4 linked regions of the Drosophila melanogaster genome follow. The protein of the gene in region 4 interacts with the protein of the main gene of each other region in a pairwise test. Each region holds a gene or a part of one and is shown on either strand. Other genes may lie near its edges. The genes, in order: Dpm3, CG6126, CG9825 and CG13068.

Region 1 (3,035 bases), on a different chromosome or scaffold from region 4:
AAATTACACAAATTAACTTCAAATGGCTATTAATCGGTTTATATTGGATCTTTTGAGTATCACAACATTCAGCTTCGCAATTATAACTCCTTCCAGTATTTTGCAGAAGAGAAAATTAAAGTTTTGAAACAGTATATTTTTTTCTCTTTCGCATTGTAATTAAGAGAATTTTAAAAAAATTGATTTATTGGAAATAGATAGCCAAAGCATGGATTTGCAATATATGGTTCGCACTTACGAGTTTTCCATATACCATGTTCATTAAGTAAAAATATGTTTTCCGTAAAGAATATTATTAATCTCTTTAAACGTATTTTACCTCATATACTTTTTTAGTTTTCTTATATTTTTTATTTTGAGTAATTCACAGGGGAGCTAAGCCAATTAAACATAAACATATTCCATACTTTTTCAAGCATATCCTTTCAAAACCTCAACATAATTTGGCCACCAAACTTCCGACACCTGGGGAAATCAGCCCCCAACAACGCGTCCGCCCACACAAAATGCGGTCTAGAGTAAATTTGCGTAATTTTTGTTTTTATAAATAATGGAATTACAGATTAACATGCACAAGTCCTACGAGCTGGAAGTCTCCTAATCTCGAAACCGAAATCCCTTGGCTATCAAATCCTTGCGAGCCTCCTGAATTTCATCCTGCAGCTCCTTGGCGGCCTCGGGACAATCGTTAAAAGTCAGAGTTCTATATAGAACAGTCCAAACGGAATATATCTGTGGGTAATATATAGTAGTAGTCAATAAGAGGTGTTATCTGCATTGATTCATATCCAAAAACTCACTCCAAAAATCACGAGGAGCAAAAGTGGTAAAAGCTGAATGTGCAGGAAATACTTGGTAGTTAGTGGCGTTTGCACTGTTCCCAAAACAACGGAGAGATAGGGAATCGCAAAGAGCGATGCGTAAAATAGCCAGCGTTGTAGATTTGTCATAGCTAACGAAATTTATTGGTAAACAAAACTAAACCGAAAATAAAGTTCTACACGTAAACATAGAGCTGGAACTTAAGCCGATGGTCACCCGGTAATTCGATATCGATATTTACCGGCTACTATCGATAGGAGGTTTACCTATTCAAATCTAGTTAGAGGTTTTCCTATTCATGTCTAGTTGGAGATTTTCTAATTAGTAATTCGTAGCCTGACGGCTTCCAGTTAGACATTGTTTACTTTTCTAATTGGCTAACTTAAGTGTGACCAAGCCCTAAGCACGTGCCATAGCACAAAGCTATCCACAGTCAGCAAATCAAATGCCATACTACTCAGCTAAACACAGTCAGCAATTTATCGATAGATCAAAGTTGCGCCATAACAGCCAGCCTTCTACAGCCAGCAATTTAAATCAGAGTAATCGATTGACGCAGTTTCAAACTTGTTAAAACTAAGTTTTAATTAAACGTTGGTGGGCGTGGTTTCTGCGGCGCCCACTGTACACGGCGTGTTGGCAAGCAGGTCAGCGGTTCGGCAGCCAATTATTTGGAACTTGACCTCGTTCGCGGGCAAGTCGCCGCCAACAAAGAGTTTCGGCTGGCTGCTCAAGGCCCACAGCTCCTCCTCTCCCTTGGAATTCCTGTTGATCTTGAGGCCCGTGACGAACTTGATCTTGTGCGGATTGTAGGCCACCACACGCAGGTCATCCGCCGTGTAGTTGGACACGGACTCCTCCCATTTCACCAGCGCCCCTAAACTGATGAGGCTGCAGTAGAGATTCCCCGACTGATCCATCACCTCCGATTCGCACTGGATTCCTCGGGTGCCCAGGCTGTGGAAGCTATCCCTGCTGGCATTCGCAGACTTCCAGAAGGTCTCGTTGTTGATCAGGGAGAGCGGAACCCTCATCTCATTAAAGGAGTTCAGCGTGTGAAAGTACAGAAAGCGGTCTGTAAATTTGCATTGGAAATTATAAATAATTTTTGAGTATTTAGAATTTAAATTGAATAGCTACCTTCCACTTCGCTGGGACTGAGGCTCACTGTAAATATTCCCGCCTGCGAGTTGCTGGAGCGTCCTAATCTCAGCAAGGGCGACGGCTTCATGGACTCATGCTCTATGCGCCAGGATCGTCCCGTCAGGGAGTCAAACACGATTAGACCATAACCCCAGGCATCGGCTATATACGCTCTGCCGCCAACACATCGGTTGGGTGTGCCCCTCTCGGCCAGATCCACCACCAAAGCCGTGAAGATGGATACGCTGGGAATGTAGGAATCGGGCGGAAGTGCGTGTCGTTGGACTAGTTCGTCCTTCACCAAATCAAATGTGAGAATTTGTGGCGGGCACAACTGCAGGGAGTTTACCTGCCCTGAATCCACCACCCAGAGTCGCCAGCACTCGTCGATCTGGGAGAAAACGATAAATATTCATGAAATATCTTCTGTTGGGAAAATATGCTTTATTACTTACATAAGTCCTAATGGCTGAGGTGATGCCGGAGCAATTGTTGGGTGGCACGTGCCACTCCTCGTTGGGATACGGTTCCAGTCTGGGATTCTCCACCAGCTCATTGTGCTCCGCAATGACGGTGGCCAGTGTGAAGGGTGTGGCCATCCCCAGTCGCGGAATCGTGAGAAAGGTGCGATGCCTGCCCTCATCGCCGTACTCAATGTCCACATCCACCGGCAGAAAGCGATTGCCCTTGGACAGATCGTCGCCCAAACTGAGGTTCGTCCACTGATGCAGGGTGTGCAGCTCCTTGAGGACCAATGCCTGGCCCTGGACTGCACAAAATAATGCGAGCAGGACGACCAACATGGCTATCAAATGAGAACCTGCTAAGTGACAGTTCCGCGCGGTTCAAACGATTGCCGAAGACTAAAGATGTGCAGGTAGGCCCTAAAGTTCTTAGCCTTCAATCTCAAAGTGCACTCAGAGAAACTTAAGCTATGTGGTAATAGAACAAATGTTGCAATACATTTAAGTCCTATCATTGCTAAATCCAAAGATAAGAATCTTTATTTAATGATTTATTACTTATAATTTTATAAATGCGAATGAATGTAAAAATTTAACACGACCTCA
Region 2 (7,553 bases), on a different chromosome or scaffold from region 4:
TTAAAATTTAAATTGAAAATATATTCAAATTCGAAATGAATGTTCTCAAATGTACCAAACAAAACAAAATGAAGAATTACCAAACAAGAAACAAAAACCGAAAAACCAAAACTCTCTCTTTAAACAAACTTTAATTGGCGGGTTAAACATCATGTGGAGCAAAGGGAAGCGATGGGTTATGGATTTGACATTGGAAATCCCTGTCGGCAATTGGCAATTCGATAGTGCAATTGAGTGGAAATTACTGAAACTTTGCAAGGCCAGACGAACCCGAATTGGCTGTGTCGGTCGGAGAATAAACTTTAATTGGAAATAGTTGGGAAATAATTTTTTGGTGTGTACTGGTTTTACCGTAGAGAAAATTGAAATTCAAGCTATGAATCTGCGCCTAAATTGATAGAGCCTAAAAGTAGACAACACTAATCAGTAAAAATGCTCGTCAAGCATTTAAATTTCCTTTAAACTAAATTTTACCACCGAAAAAATTAAAAGAAAAAATCCGTACAAACAACAAAGGGACACTCAGAAATGAGTGAATCCACAAATTAGGATTCCCCATATTCTGCACATCGTTTTATTCGCTTGGAATGAATAGAAACTATTAAATCTTACTACTAGGCAGAAGAGTAGAATTCTTAACAAGAAAACACAGGGTAACAAGGAATTTAAGCTGGATTTTGGACTTGGGAAACAATCGTCTTTGGCTAGGTTCTACTTGCTCTCGATGTTCTTGAGCGGCACCATTTGCTCCGGATCGTCGGGATATACGCTATTCTGGCGCTTTTTGCGACCAGCACACTGACTGAACCAAGTATCTCCCTTTCCGAAGTTCTCTCCATCCTCAATGGACTCGGGCATGGGCTGGTTCATTGTCTCCGGCAGGAACATAACCCAGAAGCCCGAGATCAGGGCCACCACGCCGAACAGCACGGCCGGTATCTTCGGATCAAATGAGTCCAGCAATGTAATGAGCGGAGTAAGGGCTCCCGACAAACGGGCACACATCGATCCCAATCCCATGGCCGAGTTCCGCACCACGGTGGGAAACAGTTCGGCTGAGTAATTGTAGATTACGGCAAAGGAACCGGCGATGAGGAGCTTTCCTGCCATTACCACCGCCGTGGAGGTGGTGCTGCCCTGGGCAATGTAGGCGGCCACAATGCAGCATAGACCGCCACCCAACATCAGGGTGGAGGTGATCGATCGACGACCCAGGCGATCTAGGACGAACACAATGGTTATGTAGCTGGGGAACTCCACGAGGCCCATGATGAACAGGATCAGGTAGGGATTTCCATACAGCTTGCCGGCACTGAGCGATAGTCCGTAATAAACCAGAGAATTGGCGAACCAGCAGAGGCACACGTTCAAAGTCTTCATCCTCAAGTTGGGCGTGCGGAAGAGGTCGCTCAATCCGGCGCTGGATTTTTCTTCGGCCGCCGCCTGCTGTTTGGCTTTCTGCACATAGTACTCCTTGTCCACCGGGATGCCCGATCCGTTGATTCTCAGGCCCTTGGCCACAATATCCACCGCCTCGGCGGCACGTCCCTGCATCCACAGCCAGCGCGGAGATTCATCGAGCCACCACCAGTGGCCCAGGAACAGACAGCCATGCAGTCCGTAGATCACTTGGAGCCACTGGCGGTCAGGGATGAGTGCTCCCCATCCGGCCACCAACATGATGCCACCAGCGAAAACAGCCTAAAAGTATTGCATGGTATAGCCAGTTTAAAAAATGCAAAATCTATTGAAGTCTTCCTCACCTGGAAGGTAATGCCGCACACAGTACGCTTGGTAGGTCCCACCAGTTCCATGGTCAGCACGAACCCACAGATGTAGGCACCCGCTGATCCCACAATGCCCAGCAGGTAGCGAGCCACCATGAATGAGAAGTACTCGGGAATGAAGGCCACACCCACACCGATGATCAATTGGAACAGGGCCGACCAGCAGAACACGGTTTTCCGACCCACTTTGTCGGCGAGTCCGCCAAGGGTGACTGCGCCTGTGAACACGCCCAGCATGAACACGGTCTGCACAATGGCTCCCATCCAGCGGCGATCGCACACAAAGTTCCAGTCGATGGTGCGCGAAGTCTTGTAGTACGTCGTGTCGTATACGTAACGTTCGCAATTGATGGTGGTATTGGTGCCAGGACTACTGGGATCGAACATGAGGCAGGACTCTAGCTCGCCATTGGGCTTCAGCGGAATGGCGGCCAGGATAGCGCTCGAGTTCCATGGTGTCACCGACAAGCTGCTGTTATCCACGCCCTCGATGAAGCAGCGATGCTCAGGCACGGCGGCCACCGTGACCAGCGATAGCATGTGCATGCCAGCGGTCAGGCCGGAGAGCACCTGCAGGAAGAACTGCAGGAACTGGTACTTTCCAAACTCCCCTGCAATTGGATAGAAAAAAATAGAAAGACATTTCACAATCATTAATGTCTTGGGAAAGGTTATGAGCGCACAACAAATGTGAGCTTTCAGCAACATGATAGATAGTGATAATCTGTAGCACCCATGAATCACCCAGTTTACGATTAAATATAATAAAAAGAAAGTAAGTTGAGCTGAAAACGGAAGTTGTTCTAGCTCAAATTATTTAAAACGGTTTTTTATTTCAGTATTTGAATTTGAACATCACGTAGCTGCGATAAAAACACAACCCAAAGAAACAGCCGACTTTTATGTAGATGGGAACTTTTAATGGGTATCGCTGGAATTGTCGTCACTCCAAAGGCTTTGCAATTAAATCAAGTGGAATTTATTCAATTCGATTTCAATTGAAGCGCATTCGCCTAGCCCGTCAAATATTTGCCCACAGTTTGGTTTGGTTTGGTTTTGGTTTCGAACGCCATGAAAAGAGACTCGGATGTCTTGGGAGAATGCACTGAATCGATTATGACTTGGCTGGTCAGTCAGTCCATGGCGATCGCGTTGATGGGAGGCCAGGGGCTGTGTAAATTTCTAACGACATGGACAGTATGTAGCCTAGATACGAGAATTTGACACTTGATCACGGTCCAATGTTCAATCAGCCGTTTCAATTGATTTGTGGGTTACGTTTATTGATCGTTTAAACGAAACTCTTGCCATCAAATGAAAAGTTACGTTCACCCCGGTTACGTTGCAATCGACAAATCATGAGTAAAACGTCTGAGAATTTTCATTTTTCATTATTAAAACGATTGCGTGAAGTGTAAAATTATGTCATCGGGTTGACTTAATTAATCTCAATTATAAAATTTGACTCTACGCCTAATGAAATTCAATTACGCCCCCAATAGACATAATCAGCGTATAATTGAGCACAATCTAGGAAATCGATTGGCCAAATTTGTGATAACTAAACTCGTAATAGTAAATACTAATGTGGAACTCATAGCGGATTATCAGAGGCCACCAAATGCTAGATCATATATCAGTGATATTGTTGCTTCAGATTTATTGCATCCGTCCAATATAACTAGCCGTATAATTGTTGCCAAGTGGCCCTTGAATACGACATTTGTTTTTGGCCCTGTCAATGTTTGTTGTTCTCTTAATCGTAAGCCATCTATTATGATGTACAAAACCAACAGTTTGCACATTAAAATGAATATGGCGCAGGTTTGGACCGTTGTTTATTCTGGGCAAACTTTTTGAGCGATAAGTGAGATGGATAAGAACACGGAATATTAAAAAATAATGCAGTCATATTTCTAACAATATTGCACATGTATATTAATCTACTGTTATTCTACTATCAACTGTTGCTTTATTTCAGAGTTGATTTCTTCAAAGCTTTTAAAATTTCCTTTGTGCTTAAGTATCATGATTCGAATAATTGAGGTAGATCATGGTTTTACACCTCCACTTTAAGGCTTCCTTCGGTTTTTGTTCATCCGTACTTCAACATTTTCACTTCCCGCGTTTACTAACAACTGAAGGTCGATTTAGTTCTGTTCTGTGCTCTCCACATAGCACGTGTGGAAGTGCTCTCAAAGTCATTTTAAGTTGCTGGTTTTATGGTAACCTTCTTACGTACAAATAACAACCAACTCAGCAATGCAACACGCCTCCAAATTCGAAGTAATTAGAGTTGCTGCTCGCCAATAGGCCTTCAACAAAGTAAACAGAAATAAAAGAGCGATATGTGAATTTTGATGGCTGAGGGAGGTATTGCCATATAGTTGAATGTGAGCAAACCAGTTTAAGGTTTTTTGCATTTCACAGATACAAATGTATGCGAATATATTACGAATAAAAAAGTCGCTAATGCGATTATTACTCCCTCTCTCCTGTCACTTTCTTATAGGCTGCGGTTTTGCGAATGCTTAATACAAAACCAGTTTCGGATTGTAAAAAACTGTTCTATTTTAATTAACGACAATTTCAGCACAATCGTTGACACAAATTTTATATTCCAACTCATATTTTATGTGACTCATAAATTTCTAATTTGTAGCCGTGACAAATAAAACTGTTTATCCATCGATCTTCCACTGTATTCCCACAATTAATCTTAACTATTTTGCATACTGCATATAAACACGCTTAATTTTGTAGCTTCCACAAGCTAGCTGCAATGTTTGAACCGCACAATTAGAGTATATAATAAATTATAAGCAAATACCCAGATATCCGTAGATCCCAAGATCTTTATGACGAGCCTACTTCACAGTCTTGTGACAGATACCGCCCCTTTTGCACCCGTTTTATTTTTGTTTGCCTGTTAGCCGCCACACTCGTTTTAGCGTCACTGTGCTAAAGCCAAGTAGGCTCAACAAGTGTCAGACAGCCTCCAGCTCAGAACTTGGCCCACACGAACATGTGTCGACTATATGTGTACATAAATACATACTTGGTATGGTATATAGTCAAAAGGGGAGCAACAGGTCGGAGTCTCTATCAAGCTGTCATAAATGTCTGTCACTTGGTGGCCTCGACGATTTATTAAATTAAGAATAGTGCAAAATGAAAATGAAAATAGTTGCAATTAAAAAAGTATTATAGTCGGCTTCTTTTGAGCACTTGACGTGACGGACAGCCAGCCGGATAGATTAGGCGGAGATTAAAAGCATAATACGGAAAAATTAATTATAGATTTTAAAAGCAGAACAGAAGGTTGGGCGGTAAACCTCATTGGTCGTCGTGAAACAAAATATTATCCATAGTAGCTTGCAACGCTGATAAGACCTCTCAAAATGATAAGCATAACGCCAGGCTCTTATCAGCACGGGATGGAGACGCCTGGCAACGTAACAGCTGACCTTTCAAAAGTCTTCGCTCCCAAAAGCCCATTCCACTCACCAAGTTTCCCCATCAGGTCCTCCAGTACATAATCCACAGCCATGTTTGATTTTTTATTGATAATCAAAAATAAATGAAAGTAACTGTTTGCTATTGCTTCTTAACAAATCGTCATCTTCTGCAGAAGTGGAGCATGTATGAATGGCACACCAGTGCAGCACTGCTGATAGTTACGGGTCGCGAAGATGCAAAACGAATCCGGGATAAACAACGTGCTCGAGTGAAACAAAATCGCAAACGGAGCGCTCGATCAGCTATCAACTCTTCCGACCGCCGGCAGCATTTGAACTGGCAAAAACTAACTGCGAACTGTGTCGCTCAGCGAGAAAACTGAGTGGTAAATGGCGATAAGGTCGCTCCAAGCTCGCGAGCGAAGAGAGCTTGTGGAGGTCTCCAAAGTTGGGAACTAAAGAGCAAACTCTGCTCGAGGGTAAGAGCTTCAAAAACTGTAATCACCATTATAATCCTTGATGTATGAAAATAAATGATGCCTCTTGGCAAGGATCCCTTAGATTAGAATACGATCAGAAAACTCATACCTTAGCAAGCTTTGATTTGCCTAACACTCAGTGACAAACAAAACATAAGTCACAAAAACACATACAAAAAATACATAAAATTCATTTAAAGTTAATTTTAAAATTATGTGTGAGCCAAACTTATCAGATCCGTCGACATTCCTGTACTTGGATATGCTGGCGGATATTTTAATGCAGGACAGCCTTGAAATGGAATCAGATTTCAATACCAAGTTAAAATTTCTTAAGGAACAGGAACAAATTTGCCTAGACAATGCCAAAAATGTGAGACTCAATGGCCATAGGCAAACAGGATATAAATTTTTCATACTCCAACAGGCACTTCCCATCGATGATACCCTGAGATCAGTAAAGTGCACCATGCTTAGGGTAGAAATGGAGCTGCATGAAAACGAGATTAACCTTATACAGGCGGAGAAAGCAGTTACGAAATTGGAGCAGAGCTATCCGAGTCCTGAGAGTCTGGCAGGCCAAGTGTTTCCTTTGGCAAGTACCACATATCAGGATTTGCTGAGTATGCTGATGTCTTCGAAAAAAACAGTCGATCATTGCAATCAGATCAAAGAGGAGGTCGCGACGTATAATGAGCAGATATCCGCAAAAGTACCTTCCGTAAATTTGGTATGAAATGATGACTAAAAGTTGTATTTAGAGTTTCTAAAGTGAGTGTATCAACAGGTAACCAAGCTTATCGATTACCACAATAATACACTGGAGTCTATGGAAAAAAATATCGAAAAATTGAAGAGCCAGGTCACACAAGTTCAAAAGGAGTTCGAGCAGCTTTATAACGAACATGCACGCCAATTCAACGCACCGTTCCCATGCAAAAAGGTCAAGGAGTTAAAACCAAAAGACACATGTGGAGTACGACTACGCATGTAATCTGATAACACAATATATCCAACGAATATTATAAATGCTTACAATGCTGCAAGTTCAACTTTTCGCTTAAGATTAGGTTTGGTGATCTGGGCTTAAATTTTAGTTGTTGGCATCACGGAAAAACAACACATCGTCGGCTATGATACTGGTGCTAGTCTTCTGGTTGCCCTGCTGGTCGGTGATCTCTCCATAGGTGATCTTTCCCTGCACCATGGTTCGCTGTCCCTTCTTCAAGTATTCCAGCACGGTGTCACGCAGATTGGGCTTGAACACCACTACACGATGCCAGTCGGTGCGTTGGGCCCAGTCGCCGTTCTCATATCTGTGGGGAAATATTTAAGACTTCATGAATGCTTTTTAAATGAAATGGTAGCTATTTTCTTTATGAAATCCGGCATTTCATGGATCCTAAGAAGAAATTGATCACTGAAGTTAATTGAACAAGGAAATGTACACTATTGCCGTTATCATTAGGTAATTACATACAGCAAATGTTCTAATAACTCATTACATAAATCTGAATTAGCAGCTCAACGTGATATTTTCTTGGAGGTTAAGGCTAAGAACTAACTTAATTGTCAACATTTATGTAGCTTTTTTATTTCCCTCCTCTGAGATGTGATTTCAAGTTCAGTTGCAGACGCATGCTGGGCGGCAAAACGCACACAAATGCACTTACTTGTAGTTGGTGTGTGTAGCAACCGAAAAGGTGACCACCGGATGCTCCTGGGATCCACGCAGCTGCGGATCGGCGCCAACTCGTCCCAAAATGGTCACCGTGTTGACAGCTGTGGTTATTTATTCAAAATTAATTCAATTTCATAACTAAACCTAA
Region 3 (4,455 bases), on a different chromosome or scaffold from region 4:
GAACGATGAGTCACTTACTAAAGTTATAGGTCGCGCCTTAAATTTTTGTTCCAAAGAAACCATAAAGGTGTGTACCATTTAGTGATACTGTGGGCATTGCCAATTTTTTTTATCACAAATCATATGGCGAGAAGTGCAATGACGAGATCGTTGTACGTAAGATAATATTTTTAGGTCTTCGCAAACGGCATCTTAAAAATGAACTGCAGAACTAAATGCTCTATAATTCAGTCTACTAGCGACGGTAACTAAGGGAATTTTAAACACAAGAATATGTCTATATTTTCGAGCAATCAAAACAATAATAGCTGACTAGCTCTTGAGACTGCGGACTTGTAATTAAAAATATTTAGTGATGTCGCCCTCAATGGCATTTTCAAAATATCAAGAATAACTCAATTTGAGTGTCAGTTATAGATAAAAGAATCGTTTGCTATCTCTCTACCAAGTTATGATTTTTAGACCACTAAAGTGAACAAATAAAAACCAAATGCTAAAATGTAAATTTGGTTATCCAGACTAGTCTAAAAAATAAATGCGTTAAATGGGTTAAGAATTAATGGCTTTTACTATTAATTTTCTCTTTGGAATTTTCGTTAATTGGAAAGGATAACGCCTGCATAGGTGGTCTATTGGCAAGTTCCGGGTTCTGTGTCTGCAGATAGTCCTCGGCATCCCAGGGCTGAGTTTCGGCCGTGCCAAACACCAAGTAAATGCAATTGCCCACAAAGAAGATTACGGAGGCAATGATGAACACGATCTGCCATTGGGAGCGATCAGACTGAAAGGAAAGGATACAATAAGCAATTAAAAATCTTTACTTCCTACCAACTTTTGCAAGCACTCACATTTTCCTTAACAATCCATCCAACAACTAAAGGAGTGACTATGGGCACGAAATTCGCCGCTGTATTCACAATTCCCATTAGAATGCTAGCGTGATTTTTCGATAGATCAATTGTGTTTAAAACACTGCCAATGGTTTGAGCACTATTCACGCCCACACTGATGGTCATCAGAGCAATCGCGAAGTTCTTTTGTTCCTTGTCCAAAAAGCCAATGCCCACCAAAGTGGCAGCAGGAATCCAGAAGGCAATGGAGTTGTAGGTCTTTCTCAAAATCGTCAAGGACACCGAGTTCTTGCCCAAGAGCACATCGGCTACGACTAGGTAAATATACGACATGCACCACATGGCCAAGAATGGGAGTGCCGAGAAGAACGCATTGCTCTTCATGTCCATGTCGAGGACTCCGTTCATATAGGATGGGATCTCGGCCTGCAGAGTGCTCAGTCCCCAGTTCTCAGCGCATCGTACTATGAGCAGGGCCAGGAATGGTGCCGACGTCCAAATTGCCTTCCAGGGAATGGGTATAATGGTAGCGTGGTATGACTCATTGTGCTTTAGAGACGACTCAATATAGATCAGTTCGTTCTCTCCTATGAAACGAGATTCCGTAGGATGGTTGGCAGCGAAGACGAACCATAATGTACACCAGAAGAAGGCCACTCCAGCCGAGACATATGAGATTCCGGGCCATCCCAGGGAGCTCTTGGCTATCATTCCGCTCAGGAACATGGCACTCACATTGCCGCACTCGATTCCAGTGTGACTCAGAGCTCCCAACCGATTTCTTTCCTCGGGCGGTGACCATTTAGCCAGGTGCTGATGAATGCAGGGGAATACCACTCCCTGGGCCAATCCCATTAGAACTCGAATTCCACAGTAGGCCTGCCATTCTCCAAATCCGATGAACAGCGGCGTCAAAGCACTGCAGACACCAGATCCGAAGACACCCCAAAACATTACACTCTTGACTCCAAAGCGCTTGCAGAGATAACCTCCAAGGAATTGCGTTAGGATGTAGCCCCAAAAGAAACTGGAGAGAATGTACGACTTCTCTGCCTCCGTCCAATCGTATTCCTAGTAGAGAATCTAGTAAGCTAAGTGGTATTTTCTTGATAGGATCCCTATTCTTACCGGAAAGTTCGGGTTCGTGGTTTCCGCATTGGTCATTGCCACCACAGACACGCCCACATTTAGGCGGCCTATGAATACGGTAGTTATATTGAGGAAGATCAGTAGCGCCTGGACATGCCTCATTCCCAGAACGGGTCCTGCAATAACAAAACGAACTGGTATTATCACTGTTACTTCCTGTCTACAAACAGTTGGGTAAATAAGTCTGAATTGCTCTTGAGACTCGGTTATCGCGCCATTATTGTAGTAATTTATGACCACTCAATGCGTGTGCGAAAAGCCCAGAAATCAGACGGAGTGCAAGGTCTGAGCCATGAAGGGGTTTTCCACTGTGTCAAGTTCGTTGGGTGTCAATTCATTCACAAACTCTTATCCGAACCGAAGGATTTCCTTTCACGCACCTTTGTTTGTCTCGGCCGTCATTTTTGATTTGGTCAACAAAACACCTCCTGACTTCTTTTAAACGACCGATCGGAATCACTGTGGGAAGTTAAGTGAGTGAGACCACGAACATAGAGTGGATTTAAATCCAAATTGAATTAGACGATAAGCCAAATGTTGCTTATCTGATACGACACGTCAGGTGATAAGGTCATACAGCGGGCGAATTTAACCATTGAATTAAAAAGCGTCATTAAAAAATTGTTGTACTTTACAAACTAGTTATTATGTCATTAGTCAGAATATTGTAAATCAATCAATAAATCATTATTTTCATCCATTTCTACAATTCTAGTAAGGATTCTGGCACGATTCGGTAAAAGATAGATGCCACATAAGCAACATGGCCTAAAATGTTAGCGCCAAAAAGAATGCATTGCTTTTTCATGGCCATATCGAGAACCCTTTTTCGAATAGGTGGGCATTTCGGCCTTCAGGTTACTTAGTCAAGAAAGAAGCCAAGGTTTTGCACCTTTAATAGTTAATTTTAGATATCTTGACGAAAATATCCTACCTGCAGTTCCTTTTCTACTGTTAAACGAGGTTGTTTAGAACAGCATTGCCTGGTCGTGTGGCGTTCCAAAATCAATTGGTAATATCAAGAGTAGTTACTGCCATACCATTATTGGATTGATTTATGGCCGCACCTTTGGTAAATTTGACGACTTTTGATAAGCAAATAACGCTCAAACATTTTAATTCAAACAAATCGTTTTACTTATACGTTTAATAAACAAATGAAATGTACTGATGTAGATCTTAAATCTTATTAAATTTAATAATAATACTCTAAATTATTTTGATTGCTTTGTTGTTTTAAATAGTTTCTATGTTAACTGAAGACTTAAGTGCTATCGATAGAACTTCAATTCAAGGACTTCGTGGAAGGTCATCAATACCTTTACCAGCTTCATGGATAGCTGGAACTTTAGCTAGCTCTGGCACCTTTACTGTGAGGTAGTCTTCAGCATCCCAGGGTTGTGAAACAGCCGTTCCAAAGTATAGGTACACCGAGTTTCCGACAAAAAAAAGTACTGCCGCAATTATGAACACTATCTGCCACTCAGCACGGTTATCCTGAAACAATCAACAGAAAGTCTTCTTATTTATACTTATTTATCACTGCCCTGTTTATAAACACTAACAGTGCAAACTTACGTCTTCATGAACAATAACTCCAACAATCAAAGGGGTTACTATAGGCACTACAGTAACAGCCGTATTCAAGATTCCCATTAGAATACTCGCATGATTCGGGGATAGATCTATGGTGTTCAAGGAGCTTCCGATTGTTGCTCCACTGTTGACACCGACACTGATGGTCATCAAAGCAATTGCCAGGTTCTTCTGCTCCTGATCCAGGAATCCGATTCCAATCAAAGTGGCACAAGGAATCCAGAAGGCCAACGAGTTGAAGGTCTTCCGGAGGGCCGTTAAACTCAGCCTGTTTCCGGCGAGCAGAACATCGGCGATTATCAGGTACACATACGACATAATCCACATGGCCAGAAATGGTAATGCCGAAAAGAATGCATTGCTTTTCATGTCCATATCCAGAACTCCGTTCATATAAGTTGGGATTTGGGCCTGGAGGGTGCTCAGACCCCAGGTCGCGCAACAACGCGTCAGCGTAAGAGCAAGAAATGGTGCCGAGGTCCAAATCGCCATCCATGGTACGGGAATTACGGTCTTGTGATAGTCCTCATTGTGCTTCAGAGACGATTCGATATAGTGGAGTTCTTCCTGGGTTATGTAACGAGATTCCACTGCATTGTCAGCGGCAAAAACGAACCAAATGGCACACCAGGCGAAGGCTAATCCTGCGGAGACATATGATATTCCTGGCCAACCAATGGCACTTTTGGCTATCATTCCGCTCAAGAACATGGCACTTACATTGCCGCACTCCATCCCAGTGTGACTAAGAGCTCCCAACCGATTTCGTTCCGCCGGAGGTGACCATTTGGCCAAATGGTGATGAATACAGGGAAAAACTAGTCCCTGTGCCAAGCCCATAACCACGCGAATTCCGCAG
Region 4 (2,785 bases):
ACTCGTTATTGCCCGCTTTAAGCCAGAAATATATTTTTAGACACGCACATGCATAATTATTTATTCGGGTTGACGCAACTTTCAGTCGGCAATTTTTAAATGGCCAACACGTGATTCTCCTACCAGAGATGCCGGTTACCTATACATTTCGAGAAATCTATCACTTTTGCCATCTGTGATTTGTCAATGGATGATGACGCAACTGAATTGGTATTTTTTCGGGCTACATTTCCGCATTTTAAGTGGGCAGAACAGACGCTGCCAGAACAAAAGGTTTAGAAAAGGTGACAGTAAAAAAATATTAATTATAAAAAACGTATATGTTTAGGTGACTTTCTTTTTAAATACTATCAAGAACTTTTGTTGCCGCCAAAAGATTGAGAAATAATAATTAATAGTAGAAAATCCATTAAAAAGTATTAATAATATATAACTATAGCTTTTTTGCTATTGAAAAACAGAACTTGGTGTTCCCATTTCCAGAATAATATTTTTAAGCTTTTAGTTTGATTTGTTTTATTGCCAGTCGGGTCTATTTTTATTCCATTTCAAATCCGTTTTGAATACTTGTTAATCCGTTTTACAAAACAGTGGTGTATGCAGCGCTGTAAGGGTAGGCGGCATACGGATAAGCAGAGTAGGCAGCGGCAACTGGAGCGGTATAAGCAGCGGCGGCAACTGGAGCGGTATAGGCAGCGGCGGCAACTGGAGCGGTGTAGGCAGCGGCAACAACTGGAGCAGCAGCCACACCGTTGAAGTTGCGGGCCACGTACTGCGAACTGGTAGCGGTGACCACGCCGGCAGGAGCAGCTGCAACCACTGGAGCGGCGGCCAGGATAGCGGGCTTGGGCTCAGCCGAGGAGCAGGCCACCAGAGCGCACAGGACAACGAGGGCAGACTGTACGGAAATAACCAGTTAATATAATACTCCAGATATCTGTATCCATATGGAGAAACCACCAACTCACCAGCTTGAACATGATGGTTTAGTTTAGTTTGATTTGAGCTAGCAAATTGGACTATGACTTGATTCGATCCGACATGCAACTTTTATAGCACCGGGAAATCGCATAGATGCTTTTGACTTTCTGGGCACACACGATAATGGGGCGAATGATTCTATACCACCTGCATGGGAATGCAGAGCGGCCTTTCAGTAGCTCAATTGGCCGTTTGGCTACGTTCCCGCCGCCCGCGGAGGTCGATTCCAATCCGAATCCGAATCCGAATCTGAATGCAAGACCAAACCCATTCATTATTTCGGGCACGTCCGCATTGTGGGCCCATAAAAGATGTCGCCGCGAAGGTGACCAGTAGCCCGATGTGATTGATGCCACCAGACACGGCTAATTGCCGATGAGTAACCTCCTGCGCCAAGAGTTGGCCAGGAATCAATGAAATGGAATTGCACGCTTCAATCCGATTGCGAGCGCATTGTTTCAGGGTTACGTCCGTCGGCTGCAATGGTCTTTATGCAATCAAAACCATGTCATCGTGCCCGTTCTTTGTTTCGGCCAAAATCTAATCCGCTTGACTGATGCAATGCGGTCAATCTCACACACGAGCCAAAAAACGCCAGTTACGTTTACATTCGCATCGTAAGGTCAACAAACTGCATGGCAAGATGCAGTTTCGAGGGGGTCGCCAGATAACTGAGGCTCTAAAGTTAGCAGACAGCTTTTAATAAGAGTCAAGCTCAGCTTACCAGTCCATTCACAATCGAAACGTGCCTGTATGGGCTTATATCTCTGAAGCAAAATGAAGCCAGACATGTAGGGGTTCCTACAGGGCAAGTTCTTTTGGGGAGAGGACGACCTCGGAATACCCTGTACTCAATTAACCACATATACTTCTAATCTTGAAAACCAGAAGCAGAAGAATGTCTAGCTACACGACATATGTATAAACATATTACCAAAATTGATATAATGACAATATTTAGAAAGATATCGTAAGATACCCAAATTTTATATATTCGTTTTAAAACCTTTTTCTATTATTAAATGCATTTATGAGATCACGTCTTGAAATGACCGTTATAATGTAGTGCATTATAAAAGTATAAACAAAACAAAGTGCAGACCGACAATATGTTATCACTATTGCGCTGGACTACTGAAAGCTGGCAATCTGCGGAGGAGCGAGATAAAGTTTAATCAATGAATACAATATTATATGTAAATACAAATGGAGTGGAAGCTGGAATGGCAGTCTGCGAAATTCCACTGATGCAGTTTACAAAGTTATTTGGCGGCGAGCGGTTCGTAAAAAAGATGAATAGAACGCGAAGGATACTCGAAGTGATCGTTATCCTTATTCTAGCGATATCGAGTTGTGATGGCAGTGGAGGAGATATCCCCCTGCGATGCGACGAGTACGATTCCATGGGATACATGGACGTGAATGAGGCGTTTTGCACGGTCACCGGATTCACGGTCACACACAGTCAAAATGTCGTGATCAAGAACATACCACCCGGAAATATGGTCAAGTTCATGAAGTTTTACGAATCAACGCTGCTCTATATGCCCTTCCATCTATTCGAAACATTCCCATATCTCAAGACCCTCGATGTCTCGAATACGAATATTTTGGAGCTAACGAGAAATGCATTCAGTGCTGCGAGTAATCTCACCTATCTGAATCTGGCCTACAATAATCTGACATCTATCCAGACTTCTGTGTTTATTGGCGCCAATGTTCTGATGCGTTTGGATTTGTCCTACAATGAGATATCCTCGCTGAGTGTGAATGCCTTCTGTGGCCTGCACACCATTAGCCAGAT

The links.
Region 1: the proteins of CG13068 (region 4) and Dpm3 interact in a two-hybrid assay, tested with the Drosophila melanogaster proteins (one large-scale study listed by BioGRID).
Region 2: the proteins of CG13068 (region 4) and CG6126 interact in a two-hybrid assay, tested with the Drosophila melanogaster proteins (one large-scale study listed by BioGRID).
Region 3: the proteins of CG13068 (region 4) and CG9825 interact in a two-hybrid assay, tested with the Drosophila melanogaster proteins (one large-scale study listed by BioGRID).

The regions. Positions count from the first base shown.
Region 1 is NT_033777.3:13,402,039-13,405,073, forward strand, and holds Dpm3 (Dolichyl-phosphate mannosyltransferase subunit 3), read right to left. Parts: upstream 1,014-3,035; 5' UTR 951-1,013; coding exon 801-950; intron 733-800; coding exon 598-732; 3' UTR 521-597; downstream 1-520. Other genes in the region: yellow-e3, read right to left, coding at 1,410-1,897, 1,963-2,356, 2,421-2,768.
Region 2 is NT_033777.3:16,197,497-16,205,049, forward strand, and holds CG6126 (uncharacterized protein), read right to left. Parts: upstream 5,588-7,553; 5' UTR 5,338-5,587; coding exon 5,295-5,337; intron 2,399-5,294; coding exon 1,764-2,398; intron 1,702-1,763; coding exon 712-1,701; 3' UTR 504-711; downstream 1-503. Other genes in the region: CG31287 (uncharacterized protein), read left to right, coding at 5,939-6,097, 6,152-6,454, 6,512-6,718; mtSSB (mitochondrial single stranded DNA-binding protein), read right to left, coding at 6,818-7,040, 7,398-7,506.
Region 3 is NT_033778.4:22,835,383-22,839,837, reverse strand, and holds CG9825 (uncharacterized protein), read right to left. Parts: upstream 2,478-4,455; 5' UTR 2,403-2,477; coding exon 2,381-2,402; intron 2,117-2,380; coding exon 1,980-2,116; intron 1,923-1,979; coding exon 849-1,922; intron 782-848; coding exon 557-781; 3' UTR 547-556; downstream 1-546. Other genes in the region: CG12490 (uncharacterized protein), read right to left, coding at 3,291-3,497, 3,579-4,455.
Region 4 is NT_037436.4:16,267,630-16,270,414, reverse strand, and holds CG13068 (uncharacterized protein), read right to left. Parts: upstream 1,024-2,785; 5' UTR 981-1,023; coding exon 969-980; intron 899-968; coding exon 581-898; 3' UTR 504-580; downstream 1-503. Other genes in the region: CG4950 (uncharacterized protein), read left to right, coding at 2,274-2,785.